Linked DNA regions of Pelodiscus sinensis. The protein of the gene in region 1 interacts with the protein of each later gene in a pairwise test. Links are inferred from orthologs where the notes say so. Each region holds a gene or a part of one and is shown on either strand. Other genes may lie near its edges.

Evidence for each region.
Region 2: the proteins of COIL (region 1) and PDLIM5 interact in binary tests that used the Homo sapiens proteins (3 or more experiments, as listed by UniProt). The two-hybrid records come from large-scale screens. The link is inferred for Pelodiscus sinensis from reciprocal best matches to the Homo sapiens genes COIL and PDLIM5.

Annotation. Positions count from the first base shown.
Region 1 is NC_134730.1:18,934,250-18,945,845, forward strand, and holds the start of COIL (coilin), read right to left. Parts: upstream 5,038-11,596; 5' UTR 4,993-5,037; coding exon 4,736-4,992; intron 883-4,735; coding exon 1-882. Other genes in the region: SCPEP1 (retinoid-inducible serine carboxypeptidase), read left to right, coding at 6,394-6,454, 9,929-10,074. UniProt on the Homo sapiens protein: Component of nuclear coiled bodies, also known as Cajal bodies or CBs, which are involved in the modification and assembly of nucleoplasmic snRNPs.
Region 2 is NC_134715.1:19,388,302-19,399,625, reverse strand, and holds the start of PDLIM5 (PDZ and LIM domain protein 5), read right to left. Parts: upstream 5,546-11,324; 5' UTR 5,400-5,545; coding exon 5,392-5,399; intron 4,895-5,391; exon of another isoform or gene 4,755-4,894; intron 3,901-4,754; coding exon 3,765-3,900; intron 1-3,764. UniProt on the Homo sapiens protein: May play an important role in the heart development by scaffolding PKC to the Z-disk region. May play a role in the regulation of cardiomyocyte expansion. Isoforms lacking the LIM domains may negatively modulate the scaffolding activity of isoform 1.

The DNA.
Region 1 (11,596 bases):
GAATCTGAACTATCAGACTCCGAAGAAGAGGTCTTTGCTTTGGGGGACTTTGCCATAATGTTCACAACTGGGGGATTTTTAGGCAGCAGTTTTCCCTTTGAGTCATTGCTTTGCTGCTGCTGCTCTTCTTCCATCTCTATACTAGAGTTAGAATCTGAACTAGAGGACTGGGGTTTAGTTTTTTTACTAATTGCAGTCTTGGGGAAATTTTCATCTGTAGACTTGGCAGTAACTTTACTAGCAACAACAGTTTTTATAACAGAATTTGCAAGTTGGGATTTGTCTCTGTGTAGCATTGCTGCCATAGGTTTATGTGAGGATTTATTTTGTTTCATATCCATTTCACTGTCAGATGATGTGCTGGAGGAATCACGATCTGAAATTCCTTCCCTCTTTTTGCTAGACTGTGCTGCAATGTTTTTTACTGAGCTACTTTTACTAGGATTCAGAGGGAAATTGTGGTTGGCTTTTTCTAAAACAGTCTTTTCTCTAATTGGCCTTGTTTTTCTCTGCTTAGCATCCTTTCTTTCTGTTTCCAGATCTTTCTTTCCCTCGGACTTTTTTTTAAGTTTTTTGGACTCATCAAGACTGCTGTCATCATTTCCTCCTGCGATATCATTTCTTTCATTCACATCTTTTCTTTTTCTTTTCTTGGACTTTTTCCGAGTGTCTTGAACATTTACAGAGTCCTCTTCCTTACAAGAAAGATGTTCAGGGCTCTGTTTCTTCTTCTTTTTCCTTCTGTGTCTGTCATCTTCACTTTTAGCATTCCCCTCCACTTCCAACTTTTGGCTATATTTTTTTCTCTCTTTTCTTGATGAGTAAATTATACCATTACCAATCTCATCACAACTATCTGAAACTATCTTTTCCAATTTAACTCTGTCAAAAAGACAATAAACCAATGTTCAGTACAACTAGTACATTAATATTCCTTTCTACATACTGAGTTTAAAATAGTTATTAGACTACGGTCTAGGACCGTGGTCACCAACCAGTAGATCGTGATCTACCGGTAGATCTCAGGGGCTCTAAGAGTATCTCTTGAGCCCTCTCTGAACTGTGTGCCTGCGCAGAACATTTACATTAGATTTCCTCATTTGAGGAGCTGCTACTCACCGAGCAACAACACAGGCGAGTAGCTGCGAGAATGCTGGGAGCTGAGACGTCGGGAGGGCTGAATCACCCCAGCAAGCTGACTTTGGCTTTCAGCTGAAAGAGGCTACCCCACGCTCCAGCTGATTGGCGGCTTCTCCTCTGCGCCTGCCCACATGGAGCTTGGTGCACCCAGGCTGAGCGCCATGGCCAGCTGCCCAGGCAGCCACTTCTCTTCCCTCCAGCCTGGCTGCCCTGCGCTTAGCCCAGGGAGGCTGCGTCTAGCTCCAGCTGTGCTGGAGCAAGCTTCCCAAGCTGAGCGCAGGATCACAGATGCCCATCTGATGGACTGTATACGACTAGCAAACTCAGACTACAACCCAGACTTCAAGACACTGACAGATACTGTTCAGTCACAGGTGTCACACTGAGACTTTGTTATTGGAAGAAAAAATATATACTTATCAATACTTGATTTTAGATTTACAAAATAGCAGAGAACAAAATGTATAATTGTAAATGCTTCATTTGACATTTAAATAGCATGAATTAAAAAGACCATTTATTTCATAACTATAAACGTGATTTTAATTTTATATATTGCATAATTTAAAAATAAACTGTTTAACAGAGTGTATAAGGGCTGGAGATAGCAAGTGATGGACAGGAGAAGAGAGGGCGGGACTGAGTTAAAAAGTGATCTTGGGTGTAAAAAGGTTGGAGACCACTGGTCTAGGATGTCATAGCTATTCACGTAGGAGCTAAAAAATATTAACTCAGCAGACGAAGAGATGGAAACAAACTAATCTCAAAAACAAAGTACGCCAAAGATTAAACTGTCAAACAGCCTAAAATCCCCAGTAAGGATGTTAAGAAGTGGGTAACTGACTAATTGTGCAGTTGATAAAATTTGTATTTACTACACAATTAGCTGATAAATTTCCCTGAAGTGGCTCTGCAGTTTAAATGTAGCAAAAGCCAGGTGTGGAGGCAGCCCGGCTCCTACTACATTTAAACTGCAGAGCCGCAGCAGCGGTAGGTCCCAGCCCTGGCTCATGCGGGTCTGCTAAGTCCCAGATTGTGTTGTTTCCTGGACCTATTCTCACTGCAGCTTTGCAGTTTAAATGTAGTAAGAGCCAGGTGGGCAGATAGTGGAAGCCGGCTTCCACTATCTGCCCACCTGGCTCTTACTACATTTAAAATGCGGAGCTGCAGTGGGGGGTAGGTCCAGGACCTGGTGCAAGCTGGATCTCAGACCACTGAGCCTTTGCCTCCTCTGTCCACCGCAGAGTCAGTGCTGTGGGAACCTCCCCCAATACAGAGGCAGCACGGAGGGGGGAGGGAAAGCGAGTAGTTACTCGACTAGTCACTTACACCCTTAATCCCCAAATGCTCATGTGTGGGAAAAGGGGTAGTGCACACTGCAACACATCCCTGGTGCCCAAGCGATCCACATGCCAGCATAAATTAGGGATGTAAAAGGTTAACCAATAAGCATCCCCCTTAACAAGGGATTCTTACCGGTTCCGATTAAGGGGTGGGAGATGGAGTAGATTCTTGCCCATAGCGTGAAGGGGGCTGTTCCAGCCCCACCAGGCCTGCCGTGCACAAGGGCATTCTAGCCTGGATGGAACAGCTTCTCTGCAGCAGACACTCTTCATTCAGGGGCTGCTCTGGCTCTCCAGAGCAGCCTCTGTCCACAGCATGCCTGGGTGCATTTCAGGCAGGGGCTGCTCCTGTGGGGTTGGGAGAGAGGGTGCACCAACTCCACTGCCTAGCTCCCTTTAATCAGTTAATTAGTTATCACCACCTTTAACCACTTAACCAACTACATAGGATTTTAAATCCCTAGTGCAGATGCCATGTATTAAGGGCACTCAGTGGGCAATCTGCAGGGAATATGGGTTATACTGTCCTCCAGCAGCATAGAAGCCTTGCCATGCACCCCAGATTTCCTCTCACCACACCTGCCAAACTTCTGATATTTGGGCTGAGGCACAGAGTTTGTATACCACTCTAAACCTGCCTCCAAAATCTCAAGATTTTAAGAGGACTTCCAGACAACAATAAATGTGCTTTTCAAAAGAGTGTTAAAACTTCGGCTACAATATGACCAGATGATATGATTTGAAAGGTATTAAAAGGTGTCTGCACAAGGAGAATAGAGTAGGGATGTTTCAAATTGTTTAATTTAGTAATTGTGTAATCACAACAATTGTTAGCAGATTATTCAATGGCCCCTGGAGATGGGGCCAGCAGTCAGTGCGCTCCCAGCCCCACTCTGCTACCTCTGTATCAGAAGCAGCAGCGCAGGGTGGCAGGCAGAAACCCGTCCGTGAGAGGAGCCAGTTTAAAAATTGGTTCCCCAGGCAGACCGGCTCCTGCCTGCCATCTTGCACTGCTGCCTGTGACACATAAGAACGGCCATACCGGATCAGACCAATGGTCCATCTAAGCCCAGTATTCTGTCTTTCAGTAGTGGCCAATGTCATATGCCCCAGAGGTAGTGAACAGAAACAGGTAATCAAGTGATCCCTCTCCTTTCATCCATTTCCAGCCTTTGACAAACAGAAGCTAGCAATACCATTCCTACCCATTCTGACTAATAAGTATGGATGGACCTAACCTCCATAAATTTATCTAGTTCTTTGAATCACACAGAGTAGCCTTTGTTCGTGGGGAGCTCAGGTTTTTAGACTGGCTCCCCACCTGCCACCCTGCACTGTTGCCTCTGTATCATGGGTGGCAGACAGCTCCCCTGAATGCTCTTCATTTTAAACTCTGAGTTTTAAATGCAGAGCATGTGGGGTAGTGGCGTTATGGTAGCTGCGGTTAATCAGGGCCATTAACAGATTTAGTCATGACCGGTGTGGAAAAAGCGAATAAGGAAATTATTTGCTTATTCCCACAATATAAGAACTAAGGATCACCAAATGAAATTAAACGGCAGCAGGTTTAAAACCAACAGAAGGATGTTCTTCTTTGCTCAGTGCACAGTCCACCTGTGGAACTCCTTGCCAGAGGATGTGGTGAAGGCGAGGACTTTAACAGGGTTCTAAAGAGCGGCAGATAGATTCACGGAGGTTAGGTCCACCAATGGCTATTAGCCGGGATGGGTAGGAACAGTGTCCCTAGCCTCTGTTTGTCTGGAGGTGGGGGAGGGATCGAGTGAGGATTATCTATTGTGTTCCCTCTCTCTGGGGCATCTGGCATTGGCCACGGTCGGCAGACAGGACACTGGGCTGGATGAACCGTTCTCTGACCCAGTATGGCCGTTCTTATGTTCTTACCTGAGGGACCCTCCCTCCTCCCCCCACACTTCTGGGAGGCTGGCACCTCCCCCCCCCCCGCTGCCTCCCCCTCCCTCTGACCCTCTCCCCCCCGCTGCCTCGCGCCTTCCCCTCCGACTCCCCCCCCCGCTGCCTCGCGCCTTCCCCCCCTCTGACCCTCTCCCCCCCACTGCCTCGCGCCTTCCCCTCCGACTCCCCCCCCCGCTGCCTCGCGCCTTCCCCCCCTCTGACCCTCTCCCCCCCCCTGCCTCGAGCCTTCCCCTCCCTCTGACCCCCCGCCGCCGCCTCGCGCCTTCCAGCTGCCTGACCCCGCCCCCAGTCTCTGAGCGAGCCTCGTGCCTGGCCGCTACCTGAGGGAGTCGTTGTCCCGCACCAGGCGCGCGCTCTCGGTGGGCGGCAGCAGCGCCCCCTCCAGGAAGAGGCTGAGCTGAGCCCGGCGGCTGAAGCCGAACTTGTCCCGGATGAGGCTGATGAGGTCGGTGACCAGGCGCACTTGGCTGGGCTCCAGCAGCAGCCAGCACAGCGAGCAGCCCGGGCTCCCCGGCGGCGGGTAGTCAAAGAGCAGCCGGAGCCGCACGGGGCCCCCTCCCCCGGCCGCCGCCGCCATCTTGAACAAGGAGGCCAGAGCGGGGGAAGGGGGCTACGGTGCCCGACGCGGGACAAGAGGCATCGGCAGCTTCGCGATGCGCGCGCCACCTGCCGGCAGCCGTGGCGAACTGCAGCCGGAGAACAGGGCAGGCGGGAGCAGCTGCTTTGCATTGCTATTCATCCCGCTACCTCCCCCTGCCCCCGTGTGTTCATTACTGAGCGCTTCGTGGACTTTGGTTTTGGCCTGGTATTGATTTTTGCCGGGCGGTGGAGCTCAGAGCAGGATCAGGGAGCCTGTTTCCGACAGTGTTCCATAGAGCCTCCTTTTCATAGGGAGATCCCCGAGAATTAGTCACCTGAAGAAGAGCTTTGTGTGTCTCAAAAGCTTGTCTCTCATCAACGGAAGATGAGCTAATAAAATATACTACCTCTGTCACCTTGGTGTGTGTTTTAGACCCGGATCCTGCAACTGGGCATGCATAGTATTAAAATATGCCGAGGGTAGAGCCAGATGCAAGAGTAAAGCCTTAATTATCATTTAAATGTTTTCCTCCTTCTGTCCTCCAGCACACCCCATGAAAAACTAATCATGTAAAACAATTCTGCTTTTATGCTCTTAGAAGAACTTGTATAAACATTTTAAATCTAGGATATTGCAGTCAGATTTACAGGGTTGGGCCTTTCTCCTGTGTGGAGTCTCATTAACTTCACTACTCACATGAGAAAAATAAGCTTCAGGGGGTAGCCGAGTTAGTCTGTACAGGATAAACTTAAAAAACAACAAATGGTCTGGTAGCACTTTATAAACTAACTAAAACATGTAGATGGTATCATGAGCTTTAATGGGCACAGCCCACTTTGGGTTAGAGCTGCAAGATACACACAAGGAGTTCTTGAAAGTGTTAATCCTGACTAGGATAAAATTAGAATCTAAAATATGAGGGCATTTTTGGGGGGGGGGGGGAACGGGAGGGAAAATATTTGCTTACAGTTGTATCTGTAGGGAATCTGAATTTGGAAACCGTAAAGCACTAGAGAAGTGGAAACAGATTAATCTAAATCCCTTTAGCACAGGTTTCACTCACTGATTTTATACACACTTCCTTTCCTCATTTCACAAGCTGCAGTTAGAGCCCAGCATCAAAGAAAGTTTTCCTATTACCAAGGTCGGTACATTCTGTGGCATAAATGGGGAAATCAGACAGTCTGGTAAAGCACAGATAGAACCACGTTAACAGTGTAACCAGTGCAGATCTCTCTTGCATTTATCATGTAGGAGAGGCAAGAGGGCGCCCTTGGCTAGTAACCGGCTCCCTTTGTAACCTGAGAGCCACCACTTCCCTTTTTACTACATAGCTGACTGGAGACTCGAGTCATATGATTTTCAGTCAGGAAACTCCCCACCCCAGTTGCTGCAGAGATGGAGCTGCTGCTTAGGCAACATGTTATTCCGATGCTTTTCCTGCTGACTTTGGGTTCAGGTACGTTTGGTAAAGGCTAAGTGTATGAGGGAGCATGTTTAACTAGCTCCATGAGGCGTTACTGGGACTAGGGTGATAGACATTGCTCAAAGCACCTTCCTAGTAAACTTGCTCTAAACTGATTTTGTGGCTTGCTGAACTTTAAGGCATTTATTGTTAGGTGAACGCTGAGGAATGAATGATGACTCTCTTCACCGTGTGTACCAACCCCTTCCCCCATTTATTAATTTATTTATTTTTGTCCTATGTCCTGGCAGAAGCATTTAAATGCAGACGTGCTGAGCGTTTTGTGCAGTGATTTTTAAGGGGCTCATGCTCTTTTAAGCTTTGCCTATCCCGTGACATTAATTGTGTAATCACTTTCTTGGGACACTCTGGCTGTTCCCTTAGTCTTTCGCAATGGAAAATGTCTGAACTGTGTTCAGAATCAGGCCCTAACAATAGAGATAAATTTCACCCATGTGAATTACCCTACTGAAGTCAAGAGCAAGTATTTGCCTGTGAATCAGGGATCTATCTGATTCAATGTCCTAAAAACGTACATATCTGCTGTGGGAGTATTCTGCAGCCCACTAATCTCAAGGAGTAAGTCCTTTTTACTTCCACAAAAGTAGTTTTGCATTATTGAAGTGATAACCAGACAGTCTTTTATTTATGTTGTATTTATAAGAACTGAATTGTGAAGCCTGTATCCTTCAATAAGGACCATATGAATGGCTCTTTTCCCGCACATAGAACCCACTGACTTAAATAGAACTCTGCATGGGTCAGTCTGTACAGCCTCCGAATTGCAAGTTAGGGCAGCAATGGGCAACCTAGGCTAATGAGTGGGTTGCATAAATGACCCTAGTTCATCTCAGTGGGCCATAACCAAGCCCGTCTCCCAGGATAAGGTAGTTTTGCTAACTGCTCTTGTGTACCTGGAATTTGCAGGGTGTGCAGATTGAATCCTAGCAGCACTTTGACTGGATGCAGAGGGAGTACATGGGGCTCACAGTCAATGTTGTGTGCAATCAGCATGTACTTCATCTGCTCTTGCTTTCAAGCATGTGTCACTTTAATAATACTAGTAGGAAAAAAACGACATGGACAGAAATTAGCAGAATTTGGAAACTCTGTGGATGGGCAATGGTCGTCTTGCGGGCTACACATAGAACCCCAATGGGCTGCATGCAGTCCTCGGGCGCAGGCTGCCCACCACTGAGGTAAAAGCTTGAGTTTCAAATTGTGTGTAATTTGTTGTTGTTGTTGGGAATTGGTGCTTTAATTTGATAGTTATGTGCTTCTCTTTAATGTAGAAGTATGTGCTATGCACCCTTAAGATATAGTGTCAGTTGTTATTATGTGGCTGATTTCCACCTCAGCCCTACCTCAAAAGCATGAAGCTAGTGTAGGGTGGGTTAAAGATGCCACCTTCTTACACAGAAGAGGATTTCTATGGACTATCTGCTGCTTGTCTCACCCTCCCTGGTTTCCCAACAGAGACAAGTGAAGATAAAGTCTCAGTTGTGTAACTTTTCTCAGACAAAATATCATTCTTCATCATCAGTTTAATGTAACTGAGAAGTTTTGGAGCTTACTGTTATCTTATTGATAAGATATAAGTGGGGAGACTGTTTTATGTTGATAAATGACTATGCATGTGATCTGTCAGTCTAAATTTGAGAGGTCATACAACTGAGGATCTTGCTGGACCTCTGTATTTCTTGAAATAATTTCATAAAGTGAAACTCCAAAAGAAAATGTTTAAGCTAAAAAAATTCCTTATTCAAATTGCACCTCTGATTTACTGTGAGCTACTGTACAATGCAACCTTGTGGGGGTAATAAAAAGGACAAGGACTTGTAAAAATCAAGCAGATACTCTGCACTTCAGGGCTACGTCTACACTGGCCCCTTTTCCGGAAGGGGCATGTAAATTTCACGAGTCGTCGTAGGGAAATCCGCGGGGGATTTAAATATCCCCCGCGGCATTTAAATAAAAATGTCCGCCGCTTTTTTCCGGCTTTTAAAAAAGCCGGAAAAGAGCGTCTAGACTTCAAAGTAGGAATAAGACCCTCCGGAAAAGGGCACTTTTTCCGGAGGATCGGGGCCAGTCTAGACGCTCTTTTCCGGCTTTTTTAAAAGCCGGAAAAAAGCGGCGGACATTTTTATTTAAATGCCGCGGGGGATATTTAAATCCCCCGCGGATTTCCCTACGACGACTCGTGAAATTTACATGCCCCTTCCGGAAGAGGGGCCAGTGTAGACGTAGCCCCAGCTGTTAAACTGCTTTCAAGCCCAGCTTCAGGATTTTTCCTGAAGTTAGAAAAATAACTTCAAGACACACCTTTGTTGATCATTGTAAGCAATTGACCAGTTAATTCCTAACAATTGATTTAAAGTTAGAATCACGCTTATACTGGGAAAGGTAAATCTTAGTTTACTTGATGCTGATTTTCCCTCCTAGCACAAGACTTTTGTGGCTTGGCCTTTGGCTTCCATCCTCAGCTTGTATGTTCCAAGCCCTTTGATACTGGGTAATGCAATATTCCCTTGAGTGAAGCTGCCTGAAAATAAAGGCCTCTTGCCTGCACCCACTTCATAAGTGCATGGTCTACTTTTTTGATCCAATGGTAGGATCAGAGCCATAGAGTTTGGTGTAAAGCTCAAAATACCTATCTTGGGTGTGATTGCTTGATAGGACAGCAGAAAGTTTTTGAGTATAAGGCAAATGCATTGTTGCACTTCAAAGCAGGCAGCATTTTTAGGTGATGTTAATAGTCCCAAAAAGCTTATCAATGAATGACACAGGCTAATGCAGAGGATTGAGAATGCAATCCTTTTTGAAACCATGGCACAACATGAACAGATGAGCTGAAGTCCATTTTGGCAATACGAATGAATGTGAATTATTGAGGCTACAAAGGTTCACATCAGAGCCGAAGAGAATAAGGCTGAACTAATTATTTTAGAACAGTCACACTGATAACCCTTCCTCTACTTGTGGTGTTTTCAAAACATTCTGATAACACTGCTAGCAGAATGTTGGCTCATTCGAGGCCACTAATATTGCTCCTGAAATCTTCAGCTAAGTTGCTATTGGTCAAGTGTTTTAAGGCCAAGTATTTCACATTCTAGTTTAGGCTTGGCAGATAACTGACCATCCATTATCTGATCATGATCAATTATTCTAGCCAGAATGCTTTTGTATAGGCAGTGACTTACATTTTTGTTTGTATTATGGTGCCATCCTTTCATTTTTAAGAAGTTCATTTCACTGGGTTTCACATTTTTCTCAGTTAATAACTGTTCGAAACTTACTTTTTGAGATTAGGTATAAGTATTTAAGGCCTAGCCTACCACAATCAATAAAATCTTTCTCTTTGTTACTGTTATAATAAATTAATTCTTTAAAATATTTGGCCTGTTGTTGGTTTTGAATTGGTCAAATGCCCAACCCTAGCATGTTGAATCAGATAACCTTTTTCTTTAGGTGCAGTTCTAAAACAATCACAAGAACAAAGAGAATCATGGGGGTATGTAACAGTCAGAAGCAATGCAAGCATGTTTTGGTGGCTCTACTATGCAAACAACCCTACCAAAAATTTCACGGAATTACCTCTCATTATGTGGCTTCAGGTAAGATATTGTGAAAGACATTTTAAAAGGAATCTTGATTTCAACATACTGCTCTGCCATGATATTCTAGTTATACAGGAATAAGATTTTGAGCCATGACTTAGGTCTCAGAGAATATCTGAACTAAGTTTTCAGGTCAGAAAAAGAATACTGAAAATATTATAAAGCTGTTATATAAATTAAATTATATAATGGAACTCCTTGCAAATGGGGTATGTATTTAGCTCTGACTACCCTATATAAAAAAGCATATAGCATAAACCAGGGGTTCCCAAACTTTTTGACACAGGGACCAGGAAATCCATTCACGAGCTTTTGGAGGACTGGTAACATTCATTTGCATACTTGCATATTCATTAAGCAAATCACAAATATTCAAATAAGTTGTTTCTGGTCCTCCCAAAGCCCCCAGCGACAGCGTTAGCAAAGCTTTTGATACCGTCACCCACAATATTCTTGCCAGCAAGTTAAGGGAATGTGGATTGGATAAATGGACTGTAAGATGGATAGAACGCTGGCTAGATCAGGGTTTCCCAAACTTTTTACTTTAGTTGGAACCCGGTTTTTTTTAGTACTGTTTTTTGCAGCCCAAAAATATAAACGCATATAAAAAAAAGAATGAAAAATGAATAAATTTTCAGTATTATACCCAGCTGCATCCTCCATCCAGCCTGGGCCAGGGCTTGGGGGACCCGGCGTCACATGAGCACTCCAGGAGGCGGGAGCAGGAGCAGATTGGGGGTAGGGTATCTGACTAGGAGGGAGGGTGGAAGGAAGGGTAGGGTTTGCCAGGTATCCAGTTTTGTACCCGACAGGCCGGTATTTGAAGGTTTTGTCCGGGAAAGAAATTGAGAAATTACCAGACATATAAAATGCCTGGTATTTTCTAATTAGGTAAGCTTTATTATAATTAGGTGTATCAGTTCTTAGTTGCGAACTGCCTGGCTGGTAGATGTGCTCACGCTGCCTGAGTGTGCCTACCTGCCAGGCAGTTCGCAACTACTCCTGGGAGGGTATGTGGGGGGGGGAGGGGGAAAAATGGAATCCCCAGCCAGACTCAGGGTATGTCTACACTACCACCCTAGTTCGAACTAGGGTGGTAATGTAGGCAACCGGAGTTGCAAATGAAGCCCGGGATTTGAATTTCCCGGGCTTCATCTGCATAAAGCCGGGCGCCGCCATTTTTAAATGTCCGCTAGTGCGGACTCCGTGCCGCGCGGCTACACGCGGCACGGACTAGGTAGTTCGGACTAGGCTTCCTAATCTGAACTACTGTTACTCCTCATTTCACGAGGAGTAACGGTAGTTCGAACTAGGAAGCCTAGTCCGAACTACCTAGTCCGTGCCGCGTGTAGCCGCGCGGAACGGAGTCCGCACTAGCGGACATTTAAAAATGGCGGCGCCCGGCTTTATGCAAATGAAGCCCGGGAAATTCAAATCCCGAGCTTCATTTGCAACTCCGGTTGCCTACATTACCACCCTAGTTCGAACTAGGGTGGTAGTGTAGACATACCCTCACTCA
Region 2 (11,324 bases), on another chromosome or scaffold:
TGTATTTTTTGCCAAGAAAACTCATAGTGTAGACGTAGCCTTTGGTTTTGGAATATACAACAAGGTAAAAGACAAGTCTCCTAATCTTAGTTTTGTTTATTTTATTTCACCATATGGAACAAGTTAGGTTATAATGAGGTAGTGTCCAATCTTTGACTATCCCCAGTCAAGTAATTTCCACTTTCATTTATTTTATGCCAAATAATGTTTGCATTATCTCCATCTAGTACTCCCATAGTATTTGTGTGACTCATTGTTAGGCTCGCTCTTAGCTATCAGTCCAATTCTGCTGACAATAAGATCTAAAAAGTGGGATTGGGCCAATATATAATCAGTCTTTGTTAGAGGACGCAGCCACAACACAGAATACCAAACCAGGGCACCTGTACCGGTCTTCTTCCACATATCAAGTTCAATCCTTAACTTCAGTCATGGGAGCAGTCCCATCAGGATTAGTCACATGCTTAAAGTTAAACAACTGCATTGCAGGATGGGAATCAGAGCCATTCAACACCCTAAAGAATCAAGGCCATAGTTCAAACTTCTCAAAACTCTTACTCTTCAAACATCTCAGCCATCTCCTCCCAAAACCCTCAATACTTCCTATGCCCCAAATTTCTCTGCTAAATTACTGCATGGATCTTTTCCACATATCCCTGTATTGAGCAGCTTTATGTCACCCTTTAACTTCAGAGAAGACTATTAACATTTTACTATAAAAAAAGAGTTTATTTATCAAATTTCTGTATTACTTGAACAAAAGTCATTCAGTTATGGCAAATGCTATAATGCTTTATGGGATTCTAACTGAAACATACAGTGTATAGTGTCAAGTAGCTTACAAATATTTGAACTCATAGACTAAGTTAAAAACCCTTAATTCACACTTGCCACTGTAAAAATGTCAGTGGTAGAACTCACAACAATCTCGTACTTTTCTAGTGATAGTACCATTGACTAATTTCATTACAACAGCAATATAAATAAACTTTCTGAAAGACTTTCTTGAGACAGTCACAGGAAATGCAAGTTTGTTAACATTAAATCATTTTACTTAAGAACTTTACAGGTTATTTCAATACTGTTAGGAGACCACTGGTCAACTACAAAGAACATGTTACATAAGTTTTGTTTAAACTTCACGCAAGGACTTAAAACAAGGCTACAGCAAGACATTAGTAGTCAAAACAATGATCAAGATTCACCATCACAGCCTAGAATAAATTTCTAGCATGACTGCTGCAGCTAAACTCCATAACACACAGCAGGACCTTTGTAAGGAAACAGAAATAAATCTGCTGCTTTGTTACTTTGTTTTAAAACAGTATGTTCAAAACTCTTTAATTAGCAGTCTAACTATGCAGGAAAGGTATTTGTGCATCACTGGGAAGAGAAGGATGGAGTGTTGTACATGCTGTGCTAGGGTATCAAGAACACAAGACCGAACTCTTCAAATAATCAGATCGTTTTGGTATGCAAATCCTCCTAAGTACATTTTAATTCCAGGCCAAACACGTACACACACTCTAACTTACAGTGAAAATAAACCACCCAGAAGAGGTGGAGCACTCATGCAGAAGTGCTACATTTTTGCTTTTATTAAAAAAAAAAAAAAAAAAAAAGGTTTCAGAGATTGTTCTGGCCCCAATCCTTCAACATGAGCTTCTGAGATGGAATCTCAGGTCAGCTGGTACGGGATCAGAGGACTGGGGATAACAGATTCAATTGTTTAGACCAATTTATTTTGCTCTTCCCAATACAACAGCATATGTAAGTATGCCTGGTCCACGTGGTACATTGCTAATCAAGAATAAATGTAGTACATTACTCTTAAAACATTGTTCTGTCCCTCTGTAAATCTTTAGATTTAAATCTACCCATGTTCATAATGTAGCTGCACTCTGGTTCTCAGACACACTAGGAGTAGTTTTATCATTTTCTATCATTTTATTTGGTACACATCAAACCATGGTAGAGTTCCTGACCAAAAAACATCAACAACTTTGCAATCACTCATTGCCCTGTGAGCAGCTCATAGCAAAAAAGAGTTAATCTCTGGGCGCAGACACTTACACCCACGGTTCACAATAGTCATAATTCTTGTGCATGTAAAATGACAGCCATCAAATTAGGAGTCAATTGAGACCTGCTCTGAAAAATCTTGAAAACCAATGACACTGAGGGATCTAGAGGCACTTGAATATAACCTAGGCCTTTAAAAATGTGGCAGCTCTTTGAAAAGTTACTGTAAAAACAGCCTTCTGAAATTTCACTTGTACTGTGTATCAATAACTCAAAATCATTTGTTGAGATCCTTCTGTCAGTCATGCAAACTCATCCTAGGTTTACAAAAGAATACTGTACACTCTTGTGGTTCAAGCATCCACTATCCTAAGTTTATATTTAGTTGAGATCACTTCTACAATACTCCGTTATGTACTATTTAAATTAAAAAAGGCTGCAAGGCAACTATTTCACCTTGATCTCAACAGTGTAACCCACAACTGAATAAGATTATCTAGGTCTAAATAAATCAGCTGCATTTGAACCTGCAACTGAAAAAGCTAAGTTTGATGATGCAACAGAAACCAGAGCCCTCTCCCAGGGTAGTACTGACACTGCACTGAACAGGTGTAAGAAGTAACTTATCTTTGTCACTGAAGTAAATAGGGTGATTTAGGGAAAGCAAGGGGAGGGGGAGTTGAGGGAAAGAGAATCTGTTAAATAAGGTGCCATTTTACACTCTTTTACTACTTTTAGAGTAGACTTGCCCTTCCAAAAAATGGTTTCTACAGATGACACACACATATTAGAGAAGTAAAATGCACTCTAACTAGGATTCCTAATATTCTAAAAGCTTCAATATTGAAAAATTTGTATGTATAGGTTATACACGCCAAATATAACAGCCTCGGATATTTGAGGAAGGTTTTGAAACTCAGCCCAGATCTGAAGAAAAGTGTCCATTAAGCACTATTTGAGGGTAGTGAACTCTAGCTGGACACTGCACTGCTATTCATACAAAGATTGTATCTGTTTTGACTTAGCTCCTCAAATCCTCTGAATAGCAGCAATTACAAGTACTTATACTGTACAGCACCGTGAGAAACTGGCATGTTCATTCAGGCACATTTTAATGAAACACCATTCACAACTACTGCACATAGTTAAACTACTTTTTTAAAAAAATTGTCAACAGATTTTGCAAGAGTAAGATACTGAAAGATCATAAATTCAGTTAATTTGCTGGATATATAGAGACAACATGAGCTATTTTCTGATTTAAGGTCCATGCCCCCTCGTGCTTGAGATATGCCCCCAGCAAGAAAAAGAGGAGAGAGGGGAAAAAAGCATCTGCTACTCAAAAGCTAACTTTAGCCTAAGACATGATTTAAATTATGTCAGTAGTCTTCCACCTCTGCTTCTTACATACACATCTACCAAAGCTAGAATGAAAGGAAATACTTCATCTCATGCATACAAAAGCAGCAAAATACTGTTATTATTTCAAACATTTGTTCTCCCTAAGGTAACTTTGAGGCCTCCCACCAACATAATAAATTAATTCTCCCAACAGGTTTTTTTAAAAAAAACAAATCTACTCCATCATCCTAAGGGACAAGGAGGGACACCCACTGTACAAGCCATCTGTCCTCACACTCAACAAGAGGATCATATTACAGAACTACTCATCTTTGCACGTTTCAGGTACCACATGATGTAGCAGACATTTTTGTAAAGTCTATAAAGGCATAGATGCTCACCCTAGAGATGGTCAGAGGCATGTTGAAGTCTTTTCCACCTTGAAGTCTAAAACCCCAAGGAGCAGGGCCGACCAAAGACACACTGTAGTTGCTCATGGTGTTGGATGCTGAAGGACTAGTTCCAGATAATAAATGTCTGTGAAAGAGGATTACATTTTAGTGTAAATCTTAATAAGCCATGTACACAATGAAATAGAAATATTAATTTAAAAGGGGGCACTGTCAACTCAAATATATGTTGCAAATAATTTTTTTCCCTGTTTTAAAGACCTTTAACTGTTAATAATGGGCTATAGAGGTCTCATTTGTTACTAATTGTCCTATCTGCTGACTTTTTGGCCTACCAGATTAGGAAATGAAAACATTATTTACTTTCTGATTCTTAGTACTGCAATATTTGGGTTTCACATACTGCATACAGTGATTTTTTTTAATAATTGTTTTCTTTGGAGAAAATGTGGAAATTTCTCCTATGTTTTTGTTTAGAGGTTATTTAATCTGGTTTTCACAAAATGTTAAGTACTGGATCAAATTTAAATTTACATGGTTCTAAAAATTACATAAGTACATAAAAATGTTAACAGTTTATGGAAAATATGTTAGCACAGTAATTTCCCACAAAATATATTTCCTGTGATACTATTAAGTCACAAGTGCACAGATGCATTCAAACACTCATTCACAAGTAGTGTGCTTGTTTTGGTTACACATTCAAATACCAAAAACTACAAAATGTATTATCGAAAGTTATTCCAAGGGGAAAATGTTGTTTCTTGGCATTTTTGCCAATAGTTTATGTACATCAGATAACTATTTCCATTTTTATAGTAGGCACATACAAGCTATTACAGAAGAAATCAGAAAAAAAAAAGAAACAAATATGCAGAGAAAATTATGTACCAAATACCAAGGCAACTTATTTAAGAAAAAGTATTTTAAGAGAATCCCAAGATTATTTTCCCTCCTCCCCCAACAAGGATGAAGGTTTACCTTTACAAAGCACGCTGTGCACTTATCTTTGATACTGAGCAACAAAATTAACAGCTTCAGCTGCACCACATACAGGCAACATTACAATGACGTCTTAGGTAGTAGCTACCTTCTATTTTTATATTTGAAGTGGAGGGAGGGGAGAGAGCGTGCACACACTAAGGGATGGATTACTGTAAGACTACACCAGAGCAATTTAAAATTCCACATTTACTTAATATAGGAAATTTAAGATCGAACTTCAGTCAAGCAGAAAAAAGTGTGTTTCAAGCATCAAGTACTGCAAGGATTATTTTTTTAGTATGTTTACACTACAGTATACATAAATCTAATAAAATGTCATTTCTATGGGACTACTGCCTGGGAAGTTCCATAAAATGTCTCACTCCAAGCCTAGAAATGCACAAAAGTAATGAGGCAAAATTATATAGATTTCTAGATACATTTCACCAAAAGAATCTAGCTCTTAAGCCTAATTTCCATATGAAGGATCAAAGTGTAATGGTCCTATTCACACCAGTAGTTCCATTTAACTAAATAAAATAGGAATATCTGGCTACAGCATGCTAACAAGATAACTTTTAGGAACTATTTCTCCAAGCTAACAACAGAACAAGATAGTCCCTGAACTACTTACATCCTCATGCCAGAAGCTGCAAAAGGACCATTGCGCCCACTGATTTCTTACGTTTCCATCTCCTGTGCTCCCACACGCAGCTGACCAAACATAGTCCCCTGAATGCCAATGCCTCCCTACTTGAAAGGATCCTTCTCTTCTTCCTTCCTTCCCTTCCCTCCCTCACCCACACAAAAGAAAATGTCCACAGACTGAGATATGATCCTTATAGAATTTGCTCATTAGTTCTAGGAAGAACTACAATTCACTGAATCATTCTATGTACTATACACTGAATTCCATCTAAAGTGCATATTTATTACAGATTTTACTACCATGAGAAAATGTTTTGTTCTCCCTAAATTAAGTTTATCATTTTAATGTGATCTCTCAGATTAATGGTGGTGGGGAAAACAAACCTTATCTAATGCATTGGAACTCAGTTTGATCACCGGTAAGTGACATGATTTCCCCCTCTCTCCCCAACTGAGAGCAAAATTAAGCATGTGAATATTTTTCCCTGAATGGGTTAAGAGGGGGAGAGTTTAAAAAATAATTCACGAAGAGATACCAGAAATTGGTTTGTAATGGTAAAAGGAATGGTAAGATACAATATGCCTCTCTGCACACACATACCCCTTTTGGGCTTGCAATTAAACTTCTGCATCTCATAAAACTAGAGAACTTTTTTGGGATGGGGAGGGGAAGGGGAGGAGAGCTACAGAAACACCCTAAGAAAACAGATTTACTGATGTGTTTGTGCCATCCTTAAAGATTCTACAGCTAACATCATGTGACTCAAAGCCCAGCAAATGCATGGATGCCCTCCTTATATCCATGGATGCAGATATCAAGAGACATGTCTGAAGATATAAAATGTGGATCTGCATCCATCTGCTATCTAGAGCCCAAATCTGCAGATATCCATGGCCCATGTTTGCAGAGAAGAGAGAGAGGTATAAATTTGGTGTATGTGCAGGGCTCTATTAATTGAAAATGAAAAGAGAATGAAAGAATTCTCTATGAAAAGAGAATGTGCAACAACTAGCTAAGGACTAAGTTGTGAAACTCTGGTGCGGCTGAACATTCAGTGATCCTTCTTGTGTAAGTGCTCAACAAAGCATTTTGCCATCTAAACATAAGTGAGGACAGGTTAAGTGCATCATTGCCCCCTGTAGGACAGAATCAGAAATGCTCAACTGTAGGTCATACTTCCAGTAATGCTAACAGATAACTGAGATACTAAAGTGACTGTGCATTCAGGAAAATCTGGTGTTCTGCTGCGGTGAATATCCCAGTATCCCCAATGTGCAGAGAAAAGAAAAAAGGAGACATCTTAAGTGGACATGTGTTATAGTATGAAATGATCAAAAAGTTAGGTTTGATTTTGTGTGTGTACTCCGTTGAACACCACACCATTTAAAAAAAGATTAAGCCTGGGCTTACAAGTGAAACTGCTGGCTTTACTGTTCCTGCAGCTATCTGGTTACAAAAGTCCCCACAGGCAAGAGGAAATGCATGGCCATAATCAAACAATTACACACCCTAAACTTGCCCAACCCAGCTCAGCTATGAACTTTCCTTCGCAAATCCTTTCCCTTCTTCCCCCCCCCCCCCCCTTCTCCCCTCACTTTTACCATTTTTGGTGCTACTTTGTGCAACATCCTTGCATGTAAAAACTAAAGCAGAGAGTGCGGGCACATGACACCCCGACACAGGCTTGCACGGTTGGCACCTACAAGACTGACTCTGGTCCCCGTTCCGCTGGCTGCTGCTGTTTTAAGCAGAGCTCTCCAAGAGGAGCACACATCAGTTACACGGTAACCCGTAAGAGCTCGGAGCTTGTCGCTTCCCTTAACACCAACAGCACGGTCGGCTACCAAGGGGCTTTCAAGGGGGGAAAACACCAAACCAACCGAAGCCACTCGCGAAGCGCGTAACAATTCAGAGCCACCCCAGGGGAGCCTCGCTTAGACACACCCGCTTTTCCTGCAGCTTCACATCGGCGCAACTCTCCGTCCCGCTCCCCCAGGGGCTCCGACCTGCCCACCCCCCTCGGGGCTTCAACGTGAGAGAGACTGCGCCCCGCGCCTTCCCCCCGGCACCAGGGGTGGATGCGCCGCTCGGGATGGGGCTGCAGACGCCCCGGAGCTCAGGCGCCTGCAGTCGCGCTGCAGAGCTGTCCCGGCCCGGTTCCCACGCACGGAGCCCCGGAGGAGGGGAGCACGCTGCGGCGCCTCCGGCAGGTGCCCCTCCTGCAGCCTGGCTAGCGCCGCACCTGAGCCACCAGCCCCCTCCTCGGCCGCAAGTGCCTCGCCGCGCTGCCCCAGGCGGTCCCCGCCCCGGCGCTCGGCACCTGCTCACCTGGGGGCTGCAGCAGCCGCGCGGCGGGAGAGGCCCGGGCGAGAGGCAGGGAGCTCGCAGCGCGTGTGAGAGGCTGGGGCTGCCGCGTCCCGCGGGGCTTGTTTTCACTTCCGCCTCGCTCTGCTCCTCCCCCGGCCCAGGAGGGATGGGGAAGTTCTCTGCTCTGCAGCCGAGCGAGAGAGGAGGAAGCCCTGCCGGGCGGGCAGCGGGGGAGGAGGAGCGGGTGAAAGGCCAGGACAACAGAGCCAAAAGAGAGCTCGCACAGAAAGTCAGGCCCTGGCCTGCCAGCCAGGGCAGCCCCGCCCAATTAGCGAAGGGTAGGGGGGTGCAAAATACTGTTCACAGCACCTAGGGTTACCTCAGTGCCACAGACATTCTGGAATAGTGATAGAGATGTAGCCGTGTTAGTCTGGTGTAGCTGAAACAAAATACAGGACTATGTAGCACTTTAAAGACTAACAAGATGGTTTATTAGATGATGAGCTTTCATGGGCCAGACCCACTTCCTCAGATCAAATAGTGGAAGAAAATAGTCACAACCATATATACCAAAGGATACAATTAAAAAAAATGAACACATATGAAAAAGACAAATCACACTACAGAAGAGAGGTGGGATTCAGGGGAGGGGGGAAGGAAGGTGAATGCCTGTGAGTTAATGATATTAGAGGTGGGGAAGGGGAGATGTCTGTGAGTTAATGGTATTAGAGGTGATAATTGGAGAAGCTATCTTTGTAATGGGTAAGGTAGTTGGGGTCTCTGTTCAGCCCCCTGCGGAGAGTGTCGAATTTTAGCATGAATGCCAGTTCAGAGGATTCCCTTTCAAGTGCAGATTTGAATGTCTTCTGAAGTAGGATGCATGTGATTAGGTCATTGAGACAGTGTCCTTTCTGGTTGAAATGGCAAGAAACTGTTTTTTTTCTTTGTGATCCTGTCTAATGTCTGTTTTGTGGGCATTGATTCTTTGGCGAAGTGTCTGAGTCGTTTGTCCAATGTACATAGCAGATGGACACTTTTGGCACATGATAGCATAGATTATATTTCTGGATGCGCAGGAATATGTATTCTTGATCTTAAAACTCACTTGGTTAAGCCCAATAATGGTATCAGCAGAGTGAATATGTGGACAAAGCTGGCAATGGGGTTTGTTGCAAGGGAAAGTACCAGGGTTGGTATTAGTGTGGTATGTCCTGTGGTTGTTGGTAAGAATCATCTTGAGGTTAGGTGGTTGTCTATAGGAGACTATGGGTCTGTCTCCCAGAGCTTCTTGGAGTTTAATGTCCTGTTCCAGTATAGGCTGTAATTTATTGATAATGTGTTGGACAGGTTTAAGTTGGGAGCTGTAGGTGATGACAAGTGGTGGTCTATTGTTGGTTTTCTTGGGTCTGTCTTGTAGTAGATGGTTTCTAGGTATTTGTTTGGCTCTTTCAATTTGCTTTTTTATTTCTCCAGGTAGGTAGTTGAGGTGTATAAATGCTTAGTAGAGATCCTGAAGTTTCTGGTCTCTGTCAGTGGGATTAGAGCAGATGCGGTTGTATCGACACTCTCCGCAGGGGGCTGAACAAAGACCCCAACTACCTTACCCATTACAAAGATAGCTTCCCCAATTATCACCTCTAATACCATTAACTCACAGACATCTCCCCTTCCCCACCTCTAATATCATTAACTCACAGGCATTCACCTTCCTTCCCCCCTCCCCTGAATCCCACCTCTCTTCTGTAGTGTGATTTGTCTTTTTCATATGTGTTCATTTTTTTTAATTGTATCCTTTGGTATATATGGTTGTGACTATTTTCTTCCACTATTTGATCTGAGGAAGTGGGTCTGGCCTACGAAAGCTCATCATCTAATAAACCATCTTGTTAGTCTTTAAAGTGCTACATAGTCCTGTATTTTGTTACAGACATTCTGGGCACTTGCCAGGACGCTGAATGACTTAAGACGTCCAGCATTCCTATTAGTGTGAAATGCTGTATAATCATCCCCATTAGCCACCCTGGAGAACAGTCCCAAGACCAGTAATAGATTCAGCTGCAGTAGAGAGGTGGATAGTAGCAGCAGTAACGCTCAGGTGTGTGGCAGAGTTGTGCTGGGTACAGCAGGATAAGGGTGCACACGTGACTACACCATTTGTGCCACACCACCTCCCACTACTAGGACCAGCTGGGGGGCACTTTGTTCTGCCAGCAGCTGAAGTTCTGAGAGTGTGCCAGTCCTGCTTCCCTTCCGGTCTCGTGCTTATCCTACGTCAGGGATGGCAAGTTATATGGGCCGATGGTGCCCAGGCTCTGGGGATATTCCTGGCCTCAGGACTGGCTCCAGCAAAGTTTGGGGCCTGGTCTCTCCTGGGTCCCATCTGCTGACCCCATCCATCTACCCCCACATATCCACTCCCCCCCACACTGTGCATCCCACAGCCAGCCTGCTGCCTTGGGCAATTTAAAAATGATGCAGGGGCCCTCACTGCCAACACCACTGGTAGTGCAGGAGGGCTGGAGCAGCTTCCTATTTACTCCCTACATGTATGGTGGCCAAAACATTCCTATAGCCCCTGGGCTAAGGGGGCGGGAGCAGTGTCTCTATCCCCTGTCCCTGCCCTGAGTCCCCTATGTGCAATGGGAGTTGTTGATGTGGTGCTTGAGAGCTGCTACCAGGGCAGGGTGCCCCAGGTAAGTGCTTCACCACCTCCTGCACCCCCACCTCTTGACCCAGCCAAGAGCCTGCACCCCAAACTTCTTCACAGAGCCTACACCCTCTCCTGTACCCCAGTCCCATGCCCAGACCAAAGTCTGCACCCAAACTCCATCCTAGAACCCACATCTCAGACATTTTCCCCACCCAAATTCCCTCACCGGGATGGAGGGACGGACACCCCACCCCCCTTCCTCTCCCTCCTTTGTGTGAAGAAGGATGCAGACTTTTTGTGTTTCAGAACAAGATCAAAATTTCTAGAAACCTGCTGCACTTGCCCTAGTTAGTTCCAGCCACGCACCCTGAGATAAGCCCTCAGGTCTAACTGGCAGAGGTTAAGCATTCACCAAGCTTTTAGGGAAGGAAGAGCTCCATAAAGCCTAGTATTTTTAGATGCAGGGGTGACGGATTTCATCTCTAGTTACTGTAGTTACTTCCTACTGTGGACGTGAGAAGCTGATGGGATGGCTTTGTATTTGCTCAGATTTTTAAGCCTGTGGCAAAAGCACTTAGACACTGCAGCAGGCACTTTTAAAATGTATTTATTAAAAATAAAAAGGACTACAGTGAAAATGGCTTGCAAAATTTTTTTTTTCCAATTAAACAGTATTTATGTGGCTGGACTGGAATGCACTTTTGGTAATGGTTCCTCCCAATGCTCCCTTCCCCTCCCCACTTCCGATTTAGCATCTCTGCTCAGGCTAAAAAGAAAATCCCTATTGCATGCAGAGACTTAAGCTCCATCACATGATTTTTAGATCAGGGTGGTTAAAAAAAAAAAAAAAAAAAAAAAAAAAAAAACACATTCCCCATAACAATGATTTTTCATTCTGTAACAAAGTTTTTAGGGCACTTTCATGCTGTTTTATTTATTACCTAGGTTCAAACACAGACCT